Linked DNA regions of Saccharomyces cerevisiae S288C. Changing the gene in region 2 together with the main gene of any one other region gives a genetic interaction. Each region holds a gene or a part of one and is shown on either strand. Other genes may lie near its edges.

Region 1 (4,762 bases), on a different chromosome or scaffold from region 2:
TATTGAAGTAACCTGGGACACCACGGCTTAACAGTGGGTAGTTGTCAGCGGTCACTGTTATCACACCGGTGTCATCTTTCAACTGTAGAATATCATCTATATTATGGGATGCAGTGGCTGTGGACTTCTGAAACTTATGGAATATAATGGCGAGCCATATAATAATGTATGTGCTACACCACTTCATATTTTTTTTGTATGATTCAGTTCGCGGCTCTCATCTACATGCAATTTTATTATCAAAACTTCTGAATCCAAGTTCCTATTTTATTTTTTTGCAGTTTTCAATTCGCGACAGTAGCTCACTGGCATAAAAGACTAAAAAGGAAATGAATAAATGAATAAATAAGTAAATAAATAAATAAATACTGCTTGTGATAGTCTAAATAATGTCAGATATAGTTAATATTTGTACGTATGAATGCCTTTTTGAATTGCGGTACCTTAAGTTATGTTTCGTTTGCGGAAGCAAGCTGGTATCATGCTGGATGTATTTTTTATCAGAGTCGATATTTCAAACCATTAAGCCTGTTTTTTATGTCCTTCAATTGCTTTGTCTCAGGCTCCCATTCCTCAAATTCCTTAAACAACATCTTGATTTCTTCATTACTGAAATGCTTGTTGGACTCGTACATCAATCCCCTCATACACCATGGCAGACGATAGGGGTTGGCTCCTAACTCAGACAATTTATATGGTGAGTACTCAATTGGATACATTTCGGACAAATCGGTTGTTTCTAATGCAAATTTGATGCCCAGATGGTAGACCTGTTTCTCATTATAAATGGTAGAGTGACCACCTCCTGTCAGGGTGCCCGCCAGAGATCCGCTTATTTCCTTTATGATTCCGTGATCGTTATAACCCAGGTTTAAGAGTGAACCAGCAATTTTAACTATGCGAGTGATAAATGCTGGAGTTTGTGATCCTCTATCAATAAAAATGGCCCGAAATATATTGGGATGGTTGGCAAAAAGACATGTGGATGAATACAGAGGGACCAGTTGATCATTGATGGATCCCACAAATGTAATCTTAACGTTATTTGATATGATTGTTCTTAGGCCTTCTATGAAGCTTTGCGATTGTTTGGAATCAAACTTTTGAAACTCGAATAACTCCCTCAATGAGTCTTTTTCAATCGTCTGGTAAGCACGAACAAACAAAGTTTGATCTGCACCGTAGAATGGACCATTATTGATACCTGCCATGGCCAAGACCGAGATAATTTTTTTGGACGAACAAAACTGAATTTCATCGTTGAAAAATTGAGAATTATCAAGGTTTATTATGCCGTTTTTGATCAGCTTCGCTAAAAGCATAATGGTTACCGGACACCCCTGCGAATGGCTAACAAAATAAATAAAATCAGAATTGTTTATTTCTTTGCTCCAATGCTTCATAACTTCGTAGAAGAAATCTACTCTATCAAATATCTCTCCTTCTCTTTCAAGAGCGATCTTGCTTATTTCAATGGGTACTTTATGTTGATCAAAATATTCCTTCACTATTTCCTCAGCTTCTGTGACAAACTTGGTAGATGTACCCGTTGGCTCACCAATAAACGGTCTAATAATTTTTGTTGGAAAGAACCCATGAACGCCGACAATGAGAACTCTGATGGGCCTAGATTGGTAATCTGATAGAAGGTTTATTTTTTTCCATGGATCAACCCTAAATAGAGATCCTCTGTTGTGTTCCAACCGCTCCTCATCTTTTGCCTCGTTTGCAACTGTGTTTGTTTCCTCTTTTAACTGATTTTGTGAGTGCTGCACCTGTTCTTCCCCCTCTCGTACCCTTGATGAAGGTCTTCTATCCCAGTATTCAGTCTTCCACTTCCAAATTGTGGATGTGACTGTATTCCATATGGTTTGTTTCGGTAAAATATCGAAACTTGGTACAACAATGTTAGGAAACTGATTGCCTATGTCATCTGTTAATTTCTTAGCAGTTTTGACACCTTTATCTCTGATCAATATAGCATCAGGTTTATAAGGTATGTAAGTGTTGGTTAGAGGAGCCGGATTTAGACTATTTGCTAAACGTGATAAAGTGTTATTATCCGCATCAGTGGGAATGTTATGCGTCGGCTCCGGATCTTTTTTGTTACGGCCCCAAAAGAATGGCCATGCTCGTGGTCTTGTGTTTTTTTCTACTATAGCTGCATTTCTGTCTTTTTTGTCCTTCTCACCCTTCTCGATCCTGGTGGTTTCCTTTAAAATCGTTGTTTGTTGATTATCGTGCAAGCGTGTTCCCTCATTTGAAACATTGTCATTTTCTTGACTGTTGTCTTGGGCGGTTTCCTTTCCTTTATTTTTATTAGATAACTCCGGTTCTTCCTCGTCATTACCTCCCCATATAGACCAGGATTTGGTTGTTCTGTGCTTAGGCTCACTAGGCCCCATACGACCAGACTGAGTATGTACTGAGCGCAGTGAGGTCGTTGAAGATTTCAGACTGCTTTTCGGCGAGGAATGCAATGGAGTCGTGACCATTCTACCTACTGGTACTCTGTATATAAGTCTCTTCCAATTCTTCGTAATGGTGTCTATTTGTAGTGCAAAAGTGCTATCCAAGAGCAGTGATAAGCCCACTATATGTATAAAGCCGAATCTAGTGACTGGTGGGAATAAAAAAGATAGTTTTCGAACTATTCTTATATGAACTTTCCATGGAATTACCTCACGTTGTTCACATTAGTGACTTGTAAAAAGCTTTACATATAAACTCAATATTTTCCCTATTGTCAAAACCTGGAATGTGTCCGCAACGCGTAATTCATCCATAATGATATATATTATCAGAAGCTGTACACAAGCCGTTCACATACATGTGGTGCATGAGAAGATTGCCAACAAATTCAGTTATGACGGTGGCTCGAAAGAGAAAGCAAACTACGATCGAAGACTTCTTTGGTACAAAGAAAAGCACTAATGAGGCGCCCAATAAGAAAGGTAAATCGGGCGCTACTTTCATGACCATAACAAATGGCGCAGCTATCAAGACAGAGACAAAGGCGGTCGCAAAGGAGGCAAACACGGACAAATATCCTGCTAATTCAAATGCAAAAGATGTATATTCGAAGAACTTGAGCAGCAATTTACGTACACTACTGTCGCTGGAGCTAGAAACGATTGATGATTCGTGGTTTCCACATTTAATGGATGAATTTAAAAAGCCATATTTTGTAAAGTTGAAACAGTTTGTCACTAAAGAGCAAGCTGATCATACAGTATTTCCGCCTGCAAAGGATATTTACTCATGGACCAGGCTAACGCCTTTTAATAAAGTTAAAGTCGTGATTATCGGTCAAGATCCCTACCACAACTTTAATCAGGCGCATGGCTTGGCTTTTAGCGTCAAACCCCCTACACCAGCACCACCGTCATTAAAGAACATATATAAGGAACTGAAGCAAGAGTATCCTGATTTTGTTGAAGATAATAAAGTGGGAGATTTAACTCACTGGGCTTCACAAGGGGTTTTATTGCTTAATACCTCGTTAACTGTAAGAGCACATAATGCAAACTCGCATTCTAAGCATGGTTGGGAAACTTTTACAAAAAGGGTAGTTCAGTTGTTGATCCAGGACAGAGAGGCCGACGGTAAGAGTTTAGTATTCCTCTTATGGGGGAACAATGCTATCAAATTAGTAGAGTCTCTGTTGGGATCTACTTCCGTTGGAAGCGGTAGTAAGTACCCTAATATCATGGTGATGAAGTCAGTGCATCCGTCTCCATTAAGTGCAAGTAGAGGATTTTTTGGTACCAACCATTTCAAAATGATAAACGATTGGCTATACAATACCCGCGGAGAGAAAATGATAGACTGGAGTGTTGTTCCTGGAACGTCATTAAGAGAAGTTCAGGAGGCAAATGCTCGCTTAGAGTCAGAATCAAAGGACCCTTGAATATTACTATTGCATATGCAGGTCTCGATTTCCAAACTCTTTAAAAGCATATAATAGATAAAAAACTAAATAGACTACTTTGTGGCACAAAGCAGAAAAGTGGATTGAATATTTTTCAATCTAAAAAGTAAATATTATACAACCAAATTGAGAGAGTAAGGAGAAGTAAGAAAAATAAATTGCTTGAAACCGGCAGAAAGGAAGCTTGAATATGGGTCAGGACGTGAAACATATCATTTTTTCAACGCTTCCTTTTGAGCGTTCAGTAAAGTGAACACTGGAGCATTCAACTTACTCCTGCCTTTCAAGAAATCCAACTCCATAACAAAGTTATATTCCAAAAGGTTGGCTTCGAGTTGTTCAACTAATTCGCCGGCTGCAGCAGCAGAACCACCAGTGGCAATAATGTCATCAACAATGATAACGTTGGAACCTGCTGGAATAGCGTTTTTCTGTATCTCAAAAAGATCAGAACCGTACTCCTTTTCGTACGTAGCCTTAAAACATTCGCCAGGTAGCTTACCTGCCTTCCTGACTGGAACGAAACCAACACCTAGGGCCAAAGCTAAAGTTGGTCCGAACAAGAACCCACGGGATTCCAACCCGACGATATAATCAATTTTAACTTCTGGAAAAGCTTCTTCTAAATGCAGTTTGAAAGCATCGATCAACTTCTGGAAAAGACCTGGGTTCCTGAAAATGGGTAAGAAATCTTCGAAGAGAATGCCTTCACTAGGGAAGTTTGGATATTGATGTAAAGCCAACTTCAACTCTTGGGCATAACTTGCTATAGACATGATTAGTAGGAATATTTGCGATAGATTTCTTTGAAGCAGGCAAAATGCGTGAAAA
Region 2 (13,500 bases):
TTAGAATGAGCGTTCAATGTCATTCCGGCATGGGATATGCCAAGAATTTCCCAATCTGGGTGCTTCAAGTGTAGATGATGTAGCATTTCTTGATAATAGTATAAAAGCCCAGGATTACCAGGGATCCATACTAGAAGAGGCGCATCCTCGCCACTTTTAGTGACTGTAGGTTTGATATTCAATATCGAGCATGGCAACTTCGATTTAGTATACTCTTTTACAGTCATTTGTCACTAGAATTGAGCAGGCGGGCAATGGCGTAGCAAGCGGACTGTCTATTTTCCCTCCAGTAGTTTTGGGCTTTGCTGCCGTTTTAATGCTGTTTTCCTTTCCTCTTAATGAGCGCTTTCCAGTTGCGATACTTTTCGGGTAAGGAATTGTAAGGACAGCGACGCAATTCAAGCGGTTAAATAGAAGAAACTTACATCATATATAATGTTTAAAAATAACAATCAAATTACTTTATACATGAATGAGTAATGTTTTAGTTGCCTGATTTGCTAAATTTCCAAACCATTTAGAACTTTAAGGTTTGCCTCCACTTCTTGGACACATTGTCTAAAGTAAACCAACTGGAAATTCTGGAACAGTTTTATCAAGCCCAGAATTTCAGAACTGTCAGTGATTTCTTCCATTGTTTCCACTGCTGCTGTAGTATTGGAGACAAATTCATCCTCCAGTTTTTCCAGTAATTTATTATCCTCAGATTCTTCAATCGGTGGCTCATCATTTACTTTGTTACTCTTTAAATCTTCTTTTCTATCAGCAACGTCATCAACAGTAGGCTCATTCGCTTCTTTCTTTGATTCCTCTTCGGCACCCTCTGATTTTGGCTTTTCATCCTCGGTAGAAGGCGTTTCGTCAAAAGAGGTGGTAGTGTTTGCGCTAATGTCCTTTGCGCTAACATCCTTGCTATGTGCTTCTCCTGTGGCTTCAGCTTTTTTCGCCTCTAACTCTGCTTCTTTTGCTTTGACTTCATAACGCATTGTATCAAATTTGAGTCTTGATTCTTCCACTTTTTTGCGCAGGTCATGGACCTTCTTGAAGTCTTGGTTTATTAATGTTTCTAATTTTTTGTTGAATTCCTTGACCATCATAGAATCCATCTCTGCCTTCCCTTCATCGATATTTTTATAGCATGTCGACCACGAATCGAAAACTTTGATCAAATTAGACAAATCTTCATCATCTTCTTCATCTTCTTCATCTTCCTCGTCTTCTTCATTATGGTCGGCACCCTGAGCTTCCGTTGTCTGTGCAGTTTTGATAGACTCCTTTTTCTTCTTTAGTTCTGCCTTTTCGTTGTGTTCTAAATTTTGAAATTCACATTCGCAGTCAACAGCGGCTTTTGAGATGGCTTGAGCAAAAGACCTTGGCAAAAAAGCATCGTCATGGTTAGATCCCTTTTTTTTAGTGGAACTTTCGGATTTTTTAGAGCCAAACCAGCCATCTTTATTGAGAGACCACCAATCCGAAATACTCTCCGTTAAATTTGGTGGATAGTCGTAGCCCTCTACTTCGAACGTTTTGGACACCAGTAGAATCCTTTTACATACCTTCTCTAAGGAATCACTTTTTTTCTCCAAGAATTGGTACTGTGGTGGTAATTTACTTATATCTGATACAGTACCCAATGATTCCTGAACAAATCTAGTTCGCGATTTGATTGATAGTCTTGTTTGAGGGTCATTTAAGTTTACATTTGCATTTGCTAATGCATTGTTCAAAGTGTCTTGGGTCTTGTGAGCAGCGGTGGCAATTGAATCGGTGATCTTGTTTAGAGAAAACCCTGAAAAATAACCAGACATTTTCTAACCAGAATTTTATGGTTTTACCTAACTTTGCTGTTCAGATGTATAAGTATTGCAACCTTTTTTTCCCTGATCATTATTATTTCAAGAGAAATGAAAACCAAAACTGGGATATGCGTGTCGAGTGCTAAAAAAAGCCAACTAGCGATTTAAGAGTGAGAAGTAATCCTCGTTAAAAGCGATGCAGAGCCAACTAACTAAACTGCTAACCTCGCTTTCTTTACACAAGTAGTACTCAAGAAGTTTCATAAAATGCCCAGTTACACACTCGTGAAATGCACTTCAAGGTGGTGTTACAATTTTCACGAACTGCAACAATTGAGTATATTTATTAAAGCAGGAATATGTTTGCCCAATCAAACGTAATTTCATATATGAACATATATGAAGTTGCACACATCAGCGGGAAAGATGTCTCTACCGCTCGAGGAGCCACACGTTTGATTTGCAATCCATGAAATAGAACTGCTAATCCCATATACAATTAACTATATCAATTTCCTGAACAAAGAGATTACAATCAACGGCAAAGCCGCCTGCCTCTCCGGAGATCTCCTTTTTTCTTCTTTCTTTTGTCCTATGTTGCATAGTTGCTCATGTCTTTTCCTTAGGCGGACAATTAAGAGCAGCCACAATATTTCCAAAACTAAATTGCTAAAAAAGCGTAGCAAAAAATTCTCGTCATTCCCACTTTCCCTACCTTAACCCTTGATGTTAACGCCGTTTCGCTCATCGGAACAAACTATACAGATAATTAAGCTTTTCGGCAGCGGTGAGAAAGGAAGCAGCCAGGAGGAATACGCGGCTTTCTCGCGGAGCCCGATTGCCGATACAAAGGAACTGTTGCCTCCTCCCGGCTATTTCCATAGGCCTTCATTCAGCATACTGTTGTGTAGTTGCATCACATCCTTGTTGAATGAATTCCAACTATTTCGATAAACCATCCCATGAAGGAGAATGCAATGCGGCTTTTGTTTGTAAACGGGCTTGAGAGGTTCTATGCGGTTAATTCTGTCACTAGGGGTCCGAATCTCGGATTAAGTATAAAATATGTATTACCCTGATGATTGACCGGATGATGTAAGGATGCATGTCCCTACTGTTTTGGTATTTCCACATACGGACGGGGCCCCGAAACACCACCCCCATTTTAACGGCCGCATCTGAGCATCGGCCCATTTGGCACACGCCCGTTAGTGACGTTGGTAGGGGCATTTCCCTGAGGTAGGCCCAAGGTTGCTTTAAAAGGTCCATCGCAAACCCCTTGTCCGCGGACCTCTGCGTCATAATTAAAATGCCCAAAACATAAAAGTGATCGCCCCCTCACAGAAACTTATGGGCAGCTTGCTGCCTTAACGGAATTGACTAGAATTGGTTTGATTTTTTTTTCTTCCTACTTCTTCTTCCATTTCCCTCCCCTCTTCCTCATATATGTATACAGAAAAATCATACCCCTATAAATTCCTTGGCCCCAATCTTCTGTCAGATTTTCCTTTATAAAAGAGTCTTTGTTTTGTAATTAAAAGATACTTTTTTCTTTCTTCTTCTACGTCTCCTTTTTTTTTTTTAAGAAAATTTAACTTATACCACTATTTTGTTCGCAATTGATCAAGAAAAAATACAATTGAAAAGGTTTTACATTTTTAATTTTTCTGCTCATCGCGCTTTTTTAAAAGGATAAATAAACATTTCTTTAAAAAACATCTTCAATAAGAAAAATCGGTTAAAAAAACTTTTCTTCTCAAAGCATACCTAATAACAATATAATCCCATAATGCTAGCCCTAGCTGATAACATTCTACGTATAATAAATTTCCTATTTTTGGTTATTTCCATCGGTTTAATCAGTTCGTTGTTAAACACCCAACATAGGCACAGCTCCAGAGTAAACTACTGTATGTTTGCTTGTGCATATGGTATATTCACCGATTCATTGTACGGTGTCTTTGCCAACTTCATTGAACCATTGGCATGGCCACTAGTTTTGTTCACACTGGACTTTTTGAACTTTGTGTTCACTTTCACTGCCGGTACAGTGTTGGCCGTTGGTATCAGAGCTCACTCATGTAACAACAGCTCATACGTTGACAGTAACAAGATTACTCAAGGTTCCGGTACCAGATGTAGACAAGCTCAAGCCGCTGTTGCATTCCTCTACTTCTCTTGTGCCATCTTTTTGGCTAAGACCCTGATGTCTGTTTTCAACATGATCTCCAATGGTGCCTTTGGTTCTGGTTCTTTCTCCAAGAGAAGAAGAACTGGCCAAGTCGGTGTTCCAACCATTTCCCAAGTCTAATTGAAGCGCACCAACTTAAATTTTACGCCACTTTCAATTAAGAATATAATAAATGGACACCGTGAATAAATTAGGGAAAAAAGAAAGCAAATAAGAAAACTCCGTTTTCCCTCATCCCTTTCCGTCTTTCGGAAGAAACAAAAAATTATACCCAAGGAAAACCCGAAAAAAATGAAAAAAATACCAGAAAAAAAATAACAAATCATATGCACTTCTTCATTAACGATTATGAAGAAGTCTTATTTCTAACTAATATTATTATTATTATTATTATTATTATCATTCACCCCGCTTTCTTTTATTATAATTTGTTCTTCTAATATTTTAATTTTTAATCTTTTCATACTATTCTTATATCTAACTAAAGTATCCTTCTCTTTGTCTAGTTTTACTTCACTACATACCTGTTGCGTTGATTTGAGTTTTTTGTATGTAAGTTCTGTTTATCCTTTTTCATCCTACCGTTCCGCGCACGGCGTGACGTGGATCCCTAATGTGAGTTCAAATCGGTTACAAAAATTAATAGTTTTGTTTCCTATTATTATTATTATTATTATGTATGAGGAATCGTGCTATAAAATCATTTTCCATATGTATATGCCAAATATTTATTATTTATTTCATCTTTTTTTTGCTTTTGTGTGTCAACCGCATTTGCAGTGCCTTGTCAAACGGCTTCAACTTTCTCATCATATATGGGGGCACGTTTTTCCATTCAGGAAAATATTCCATACCCATACTGGACGTAGACCACCAATTGAATGGCAACAGCTCATTGGGTACGGTGGGATTGTACTTCCATGTACCGTTCACGCCACCTGACATTATACCACCAGTGCCACGTTCACCAAACAATATGTTCTTGTGCTTTTTCTCATCGATCGTCTTCGCCTCTGCGTTTGTTTTCTCGTTCATTGTTAATAACGTTTGCAAGGACTTTCTCTTCTTATCTCTGAATAGCGGGTTTTCCTTCACTGGGTACATTACTGGCCTGTATCCGCTATACAGAATATCGCGGGTGAGCTCCCTAGCTTCCAAATACTGTGTAGTAGGTACTTTGGGCAGCGATCTAAAGTCATAGAAATGCGCATTCTTTAAAATCTTTGAACTCCTTTGCTTGGTAATTTGTTGATGTTGCTGCCTTATGGGGTTCACCAGTCTGCTGTGAGTCCTTCTTTGCAAGCTTACAAAAGAGACGCTGACGCCCCTAATTTTTGTCCTCTTTAATAAAATCATCCTTATTCACTATTTCCGTACGTATATATGTCTTTGTATATACGTGTATGCGTGTGTGTTTCGTTACTCTCTATAATTCAACTAAAATGTATACATGCAGACACACACTCAGAGGGAAAAAATAAATGTGCTATAAATAATGAAACACAAGAAACATCTAAAGTCCGAAAATTGCACCTGCTCTTATCATTCATTCTTATACAAAAGTGACTAGATATGATGGCGGATCCCGCAGCCCCAATCACTGGCAAAGAGCCTGAATACCGATAGGTACACTAAGCGTAAAGACCCTACCGTATTCTGGTTGCTATCACCACCCCACTTCCATCACGTCCATACCAGGTGCGTAAGCTTAATCACTCTTTGCTCCCCTGGTCTGCCCTTCCTATTCCGGATTTATCGGCTCGTTCCCCGCGCCCACTGGGGTAAACCGGCTTGATGGCCCGACCTCGGCGGCTAGCCACCGCACCCAGACCACGGTCTTCTCCAGAATGCCCACGACGTAGTAGCGTGGTTCCGTCACCACTATTGGGCTGACACAACACCTGTGCTCAATGCTCAGCAATATATCCTCTATACTACTACTGTCCGCGGGTGCTTTCAGAAGTGTTTGCCATCGGTCGATAAGCTCTTTGTCCTGACGCAGCGATTCGACTGCCCCCGTAAAGTCTCGTTCGTGATCCCGTAGGCAATCGCAGAAAATCTCTTTCCGCTGTTCCAAGTCGAACGTCTTATAATAAAACAGCAGTTGGGAAACGAATTTGTCTTGGTCGCGCTTCGACGGTATATACTCCTTGATTTTGTAGGCCTTGTATAACGCTTTTTGTTGTTTCCTTATATCTTGTGGGATGGTGTCGGGTGCGATTGTTCCCGCATTAGCAACAATTTGTGCCAGATAATGGTATTTTGTTGGTTCTAGTACTTCGCTATCGTCTTCGCTATTATCTTCGCTATCGCTTTCTTCAGCGGTGGCATTGCCACTGCGCTCGCCGCACCATTCTTCGAAAAGACTTTCACGAACTGTGTCATCTCTGATCTTGTAAAAATCAGGATCGTTTTCGATTTTCTTGCTTTGCAGCGACCACGTGGAAAACTTGTCTAGTTTATACCTATCGAATAATTCGAAGAAGATATTACGCTCGTCAATGTCATCTGTATCAATACGATTCAGATCATCGATAATGCTGATATCTTGATTTACAATTTGTTCTTCATTCTCTTCGTCTTCCTCTTCGTCTTCCTCTTCGTCTTCCTCCCCCGAAGATGAACCATACCCGCTGACTAGCCCAGTGTGGCTTTCCTGTAAAGGGGATTTTACGTCACCCGCCTCTTCGCTGATCTCATCTTTTCTCTCAACTTCGTCTTGATTTCTTTTAAATAGATGAATCTCTTCGTTGCAAGATTCGAGGATTTTATCAATGTCCTCCTCCCGCATAGTGTAACCTCTGGCAACGCCAATCAGAAGAACCAGTTTTTCCTTATCTAACGACTCGATTAATGAGCGACACCTGCTGTCGTCCTCTTGACTGATGTCATTTTTGAACTCCTTAGAGTCATCATTAAAGTAAAGTTTTGTACCATCGTTGTATATTATTAAGTGCCAACCATTAACCAGTTCTAATGAAAATGTTGGCTTCCTCTCTGTCTGTGATTCTTTCGCATTGCTTTCTAGGTTAGAGCCTTTCTTCAAATTAGGTTTTTCCCATCGAGACTGCTTCGTGTTCTTATTATAGTAATACTTTTTGCCTGCAGGTGTCTTAAATTCCTGCCATTCTCCACGCATGGCGATTCTGTGTTACTGAACTGTCTTTCTCTTTATAATACATATCAGAATCTCTTTCGGACACTATTTCCTCTTTCTTCAATTATATTGTTTTCTCTTTCATTGCCGAAGAAAAAAAGAAACATACTGAAAGTTGATAAATATGCAATAATAAAACCTTTTCCTACTCTTGACGCTTCTGTATAAGATAAAAACTGCCAACAAGATCAGTTCCAACTTCCTGCCGTATTATGAGGTATGTTATTCATTACCAAGACTATATCCGCCACGGCTGGATGCAGGCATCGCTCCCTGTGGCTTAAGAAAATAATAGGCACAAAACTAACAATAAAAACATCCACTACTCTGTCGCATGTTCCCTGTGCTCAGATCATTCGTAACAAATAACGATATACCTGTTGGATATGTAACGCCAAAATTCCCCTCATTATACTGGCCCATCAACAACTCGAAGTATAATACTGCATTCTTATACTATATATCTGACATTTGGAAATTTTCGCTGTACTGGACTTTGATCTTTAATGGTGCATTTTACGTTACTGCTGGTGTGTATGCTAGCTTGACCCATAGAAAGAAGGCTGGAAGTGTATGGATATTCGTCATGTACGTCTTATACGGAGGCGTTCAAGGCTTGACGACTGGTACAGTTATGGGGTTTTTAATAGGTGCGATCTATAGATCTGGTTTATTTTCTATGTCTACATGGGTCCCACTTTGTTGCGCAGTAGTCCAAATCCTTTTCGATGTGGTGCTAAGTTATTCCATGGTTGGTTCCGTTATGTGAAAGCTTCTGTCAAGAAAAAACAAGAAGGGGTTTACTGATTTGATGATAAAAGTTAGCAGCAACTTTTGAATGAGAATGTGCCATCCTTCACGTAAAGAGCCTAATACTCTTTCTTCAAAGCGCTAGATTGTTCTAAACGTTTCTTTAACTATTGTTTTCGTTCGTGCAGCGTGATTAACCGAGCCTCCTTCGAGGCGGGGATGGATATTGTAAGCTGCATATATAGTCGAACCTCAAATCGGTTGAGACAATAGGCAAAGTGCCCACATTGGCGCAAACACAAGAACATTAGGAAAGAAGGCAATCTGATATTTCAAAAATGTCTGCTTCATTGATTAATCGTTCCTTAACAAACATTAGGACAGAACTGGATTTTCTAAAAGGGTCAAATGTCATTTCAAATGACGTTTACGATCAAATAAATAAGAGCTTGCCGGCAAAATGGGATCCTGCCAATGCACCCCGCAACGCCAGTCCAGCTTCCTTGGAATATGTCGAAGCTCTTTATCAATTTGATCCTCAACAAGATGGTGATTTGGGCTTAAAACCAGGTGACAAGGTCCAACTTTTAGAAAAATTATCTCCAGAGTGGTACAAGGGTAGCTGTAATGGCCGTACCGGTATTTTCCCAGCAAACTATGTCAAGCCAGCTTTCTCTGGGTCTAACGGTCCATCCAATCTTCCACCACCTCCACAGTATAAAGCTCAAGAATTACAACAAATCCCCACGCAAAATAGTGCCGCATCATCTTATCAACAGCAGCCATTTCCTCCACCTTCCACAAATTATTATCAGCAGCCTCAACAACAGCCGCAACAAGCTCCTCCTCCCCAACAACAACAACAACAACAACAACATCAGAGCTCACATAGCCACTTGAAGAGCTTTGGTAGCAAATTGGGTAATGCCGCCATTTTTGGGGCAGGCGCTAGTATTGGGTCAGATATTGTTAATAATATCTTTTAAGTCGTTTTTCTCTTTATATACTTCATTCATTTGTTCTCCATTATGGCCAAACCTTTCATAAATTGAACGAAGTTCTACCTTTGGTGTTGTTATCCCTAGAATTTTTTTCTAATGAGTATGAATTTAAGTAACCTTTTTTTTTCTTTTTTTTTAAACAGATATATCGTATATGGAGGATAATAGTACATCACTTATGATATGAGCGAGAAAATCTGTCTTTTTAGTAAAAAAGTATAAAAAGTAAAAAGGCGTCGATTTTGCGTTGATTTCTTTATATTTACGTCTGTACAAAAAATACATTAAGAATATATTCAATATCTTCCCTTTCTTCTTCCCCAGCAGGCTATACGCTAATGGATTAAAAACCTGCCATATACGTGGTATATCCTGTTGACGACATTTATATGAGCTCCGGAGTCAAGATTGGTATCCACCAGTTCCTCAACGTCCCTAAACCATTCTTTCTTTCTTGAACGCGGGATCAAAAAACTTCCCAATTTGTATAAGTTAGAAACCTCAATCACTAGTAGACCCTGGTTTAAGTGTTCCTCATCGGCGTCCGCACCTTGTTTAGAATAATTCAAAACTCTTTCCACATTATTCAAACTTATACTTATTTGCTCCCTATACCGTTTTTCATTAGACCAGACATTGCCTAGTTTGACAAATCTTTTTAACGCCACTATAGAAGAATATAGTATCACTAAAGCCGGAGATAATGCTACAACTCCAAACACCAACTGTTGCGATTTCAGCATTTTATCAATGCCATTCAATGCCATAGATCCATCGACTTTTGTTTTTTGCAGTTGAATCAATAAAGACCTGACTAATCCACCCGTAGCTATATTCTTTATCGGATGATGTAGTTGTGTTTCATATATTTCCATAAATTCGGTCAAATCACCATGTTCGACTTTAGTACTCAATAGAATAGGGTCTATGGGGCTGTTAGACGTCGAATCACTATTATCCACAACAAAACTAACAATCATTCTGGTAAGAGAATCCATGTCAGAGTTTAATGTCTCCTGTGATGTCACTGAAATGGCGCTTCCCTCGTCATGCTTAACAGTAGACCAAACCTGTTTCAGGGGTGCCCATAACCAGTTCAAGATCAGCCCTTTCGCAAAGTCAACGACATTGGTCTTAATGAAATCTTGAATAAAATACCGGGAATTCCACAACGACATAACAGAAGATGGTCCATATAAAAGACACAACAAAATTGAAGGCCAGTATCTAGTCAATATACTTGGTTTAGTGAACCTTCTTAAAGGATGATCTTTATGAAATTTCGCTGAGCATCGGATCACATCTAGTAAATTCGAATCAGACATGGCTAATCCAAAGAAGTCCTGTAAAGATTTTAGACGTCTTTCGTAGTTCGGTAAATGTACTTCGGTGAACATACCATTTTCTTCTGGTTGTTGATCGAATTCAGTGATCAACTGCCCCAGTTTAATAGTATAATACTTTGATGATTGAGTGACCATATCAAGTCTTTCGTGCACTATACCGCGAGGTATATCAGAAACCAATGAAGCTATTTCAATTGGTTTCTTCGGTAGCCCGACAAACCTGAAGTTCCGAATCACCATAAATTTGTTTATTCTTGGGCGTATTTTTTCTAGTAAATCAACTGACAAGGCCTTTAGGGACCATTTTTGATGCGACAGTTTTTTCTTATTTACATCCTTCAAAACAGTTTGAGATAAAAGACGTATTGTCGATACTGAATTTTGTAAACAGTAAAGAAAAGACTTTAGGATTGAATCACTTACTGTTTTGTAGTACTGTTCAGCTTCATACACGGCAGGTAAACCTTGGACGCATTCGTTGGTCACAGAATAGTAGCACAATAATATAATGTACTCAAATATGGCTTGGCTAACAAGATATTGCAAATCTCCGTCTTCAAAGGATGAGGGATCAGCAATGTCCTTGCAAATATTGTATAGCAAATCAAAAGGCACCGAACAATAAGAGTCAATATTGTCAGTTTTGATTGAAATGCAGATTTTTTCAACAATTGACCTGATCAATTGTAATTGATCTTGTAACCTACTTAGTTCTTCATTTTCCTCACGTACGTCTTGAATCAATTGTTGCTGTGAATCAAATGCAACCTCTCGTAGTGATTCCTCTAATGAATGACTTATCTCTTCAAAAGATTTCAAAATACGCCTATTGATGATCATTTAAGAATATTAATTAAGGAACCTGCAATTTTGCAATAGGACTATTTTGTTGACTTTGTTGTTATTACTAAGTTTTAAAGTGGAAAAGAATTCCGACCCTTTGTTTAGTGAGTGGGGGTCAATCAAATTCGTATTCCTCGGTCAAATGAGGAGGAATGTAAAAACCGAAAATAAAGTCATCGCATAGGTACAAGAAGAATGAACTTGAGAAGTTCAAATTTCTAATTCAATTTTTTTTTTTTTCTATACATATAAATTAATAAAGTTACTCACGGTTTGAAGGTCAATCAATATATTTGTTTAGGATAGCAATAGATAAAAGAACAATAGAGAAAGAATGTAAAATACGTAAAAATATATGTACATTACTGTCGGATAATGGTTTGAATGCATGTTTGATATGTTTGCTTATGTTTGCTTATGTTTGCTTATGTTTTTATCATTACTACTACTATAATTTTTCATTATTATGCTCGATTCGTAAAATCGTTACTCTTATTCAATACTATCTATGGAATAATCCTTCTTGGATAACTTATGTCTCAAACCTTTGCCCCAGTAAGAAAATGCAAAAGGTAAAGCAATCATAGCAGTGGAGATGAAAGCCAACAACCAAGAACCCCAGTGCAGATTCAATTTGTGGTACATTTGAATGGTAAACAAGGGGAAGGCAGCACCACCGGCGGATCTTAAGAAAACCTTTGTAGCCAGAGCACTGGATGCGTATTGGACGTAGCAATCAATAATGTAATTATTCAATGAATAATAAATCAACACCATACCGAAACCAAAAGCTAAACCAGCTGAAGCTGGACCAACCCAAATAATATGTTTATAAGCGGTAGCACCCAGGATCCATAAAGCAATTGCAGCAAATGGAGCACCGATCTTAGCACCTAGCAAACGATCTTCAGGAGTAGGTTTACGCTGTTTGACAATTTGTAAATACTTGTTTTCACAGTAGAAAGTTGTGGCTAACGCCCAAAGAGCACCGATAACAATAGGAATAAACATCAAACCCACAAGGTTGTCTTTGTAGCCATATAGTTCACCGAAAATGACAGGGAAGGCAAAGAAGAACGCATATAGTAGAGAGTAAATCAAACACACGTAGAAACAAGTAGCAACTAGAACAGGTTCAGTGACAGAGAAGTACAAAGGTCTCAACAGACAAGCCCTCATCATTTCACCCATACTGACACCTTGCGCTTCCTGCTCAGTCATAATCTTGGGATTACCAGTTTCCTTTCTTAATCTAGCAGCCTTTCTCTTCAAGATAACTGGAGCGTACGTTTCTGGGATGGCAGAAGATATGATCCACATAACACCTGCAAAGGCCATATTGACCCAGAAAATCAGGTCCATACGTCCGGTAGAAACGGAAATAAAACCGTTAACTAGTGGACCAACAACGGGACCAACGTAAGGAGCAAAAGCGAAGAAAGCAATAGCCTTACCTCTTGTTTCACTTGGGAACATATCGGCAATAGACCCACCAACTAAACACAAACCAGATGATGACCAAACACCACATAAAAATCTACAAGCTAAAAGACTACCTAGATTTGGAGCTAAGGCGCAAGGGATATTGAAGATGACATAAAGACCCATAGAAACAAAGTAAGCAACTCTTCTACCGTAAAGATCACTAACAGGAGACCAAATCAAAGGACCCAGCGAGAACCCAATAACCATTAAAGAAACCGATAAAATAGCGGCTTCCATACCTACATGGTATTTCTTTTCAACGGTTCCCAACCCACCACTGATACAAGCAGACCCGTAGGCGACACAAATAACTAAGATTGACAGTAGGACAGTGTAACTCCAACGGATCCATGCAGGCCAGTTATGGGGGTTTTCTGGATCGCCAGTCACAAAGGTAACGAATTCAATTTCCGGATCTAGATCTGGAGCTTCGTCATTCGCACCACTAGAGTCGCCTTCTTTACCCTTTTCGTTATTATCACTTTCTAAAGCATCTTCATTAGAAGAAGGCGAAGAAGCGCCATCGATCTGTCTAGTTCTCGTACGGGAAATCGCAGTAGAAGTTCTACCTATGGAATGTAGAGTGGCGACAGGAACTAAACCTGTAGGGGTTTCTAAAGTATATTCTTCAGGAAAAATCTTATTCTTGCTAGATTGAGGAGCATTAACATCAGGAACGGGGGCTTTGGAGCTCACACCCATGTCCTGCAATGACTTCACGGTTTCCGTCCGGGTCAACTTCAGTTGATTAGGAGCCATGTTGGATTTAGATCCACTCTCTGAAGGGATATATTGTTGCGGCTGCTGACTTTCTACATCAGACAACGAAGATGTTTCGTCTGAATTAAACGAATTTATGGATTCCTGTCTGTTCATTTCTGTTTATCTTTGGCTAGAGGAGTACTAATGCAAAATTAAAATAATGAAGTAA

The links.
Region 1: mutations in YPR148C (region 2) and YML020W together harm fitness more than expected from each alone (negative genetic interaction), as found in Saccharomyces cerevisiae (one large-scale study listed by BioGRID).

Annotation. Positions count from the first base shown.
Region 1 is NC_001145.3:228,882-233,643, reverse strand, and holds YML020W (uncharacterized protein), read right to left. Parts: upstream 2,496-4,762; coding exon 501-2,495; downstream 1-500. Other genes in the region: OST6 (dolichyl-diphosphooligosaccharide--protein glycotransferase), read right to left, coding at 1-187; UNG1 (uracil-DNA glycosylase), read left to right, coding at 2,831-3,910; adenine phosphoribosyltransferase APT1, read right to left, coding at 4,144-4,707.
Region 2 is NC_001148.4:826,333-839,832, forward strand, and holds YPR148C (uncharacterized protein), read right to left. Parts: upstream 1,809-13,500; coding exon 501-1,808; downstream 1-500. Other genes in the region: YPR147C (bifunctional triacylglycerol lipase/ester hydrolase), read right to left, coding at 1-227; NCE102 (Nce102p), read left to right, coding at 3,586-4,107; SUE1 (Sue1p), read right to left, coding at 4,723-5,343; URN1 (Urn1p), read right to left, coding at 5,729-7,126; MAY24 (May24p), read left to right, coding at 7,357-7,361, 7,496-7,913; PIN3 (Pin3p), read left to right, coding at 8,233-8,880; NCA2 (Nca2p), read right to left, coding at 9,231-11,081; TPO3 (spermine transporter), read right to left, coding at 11,577-13,445.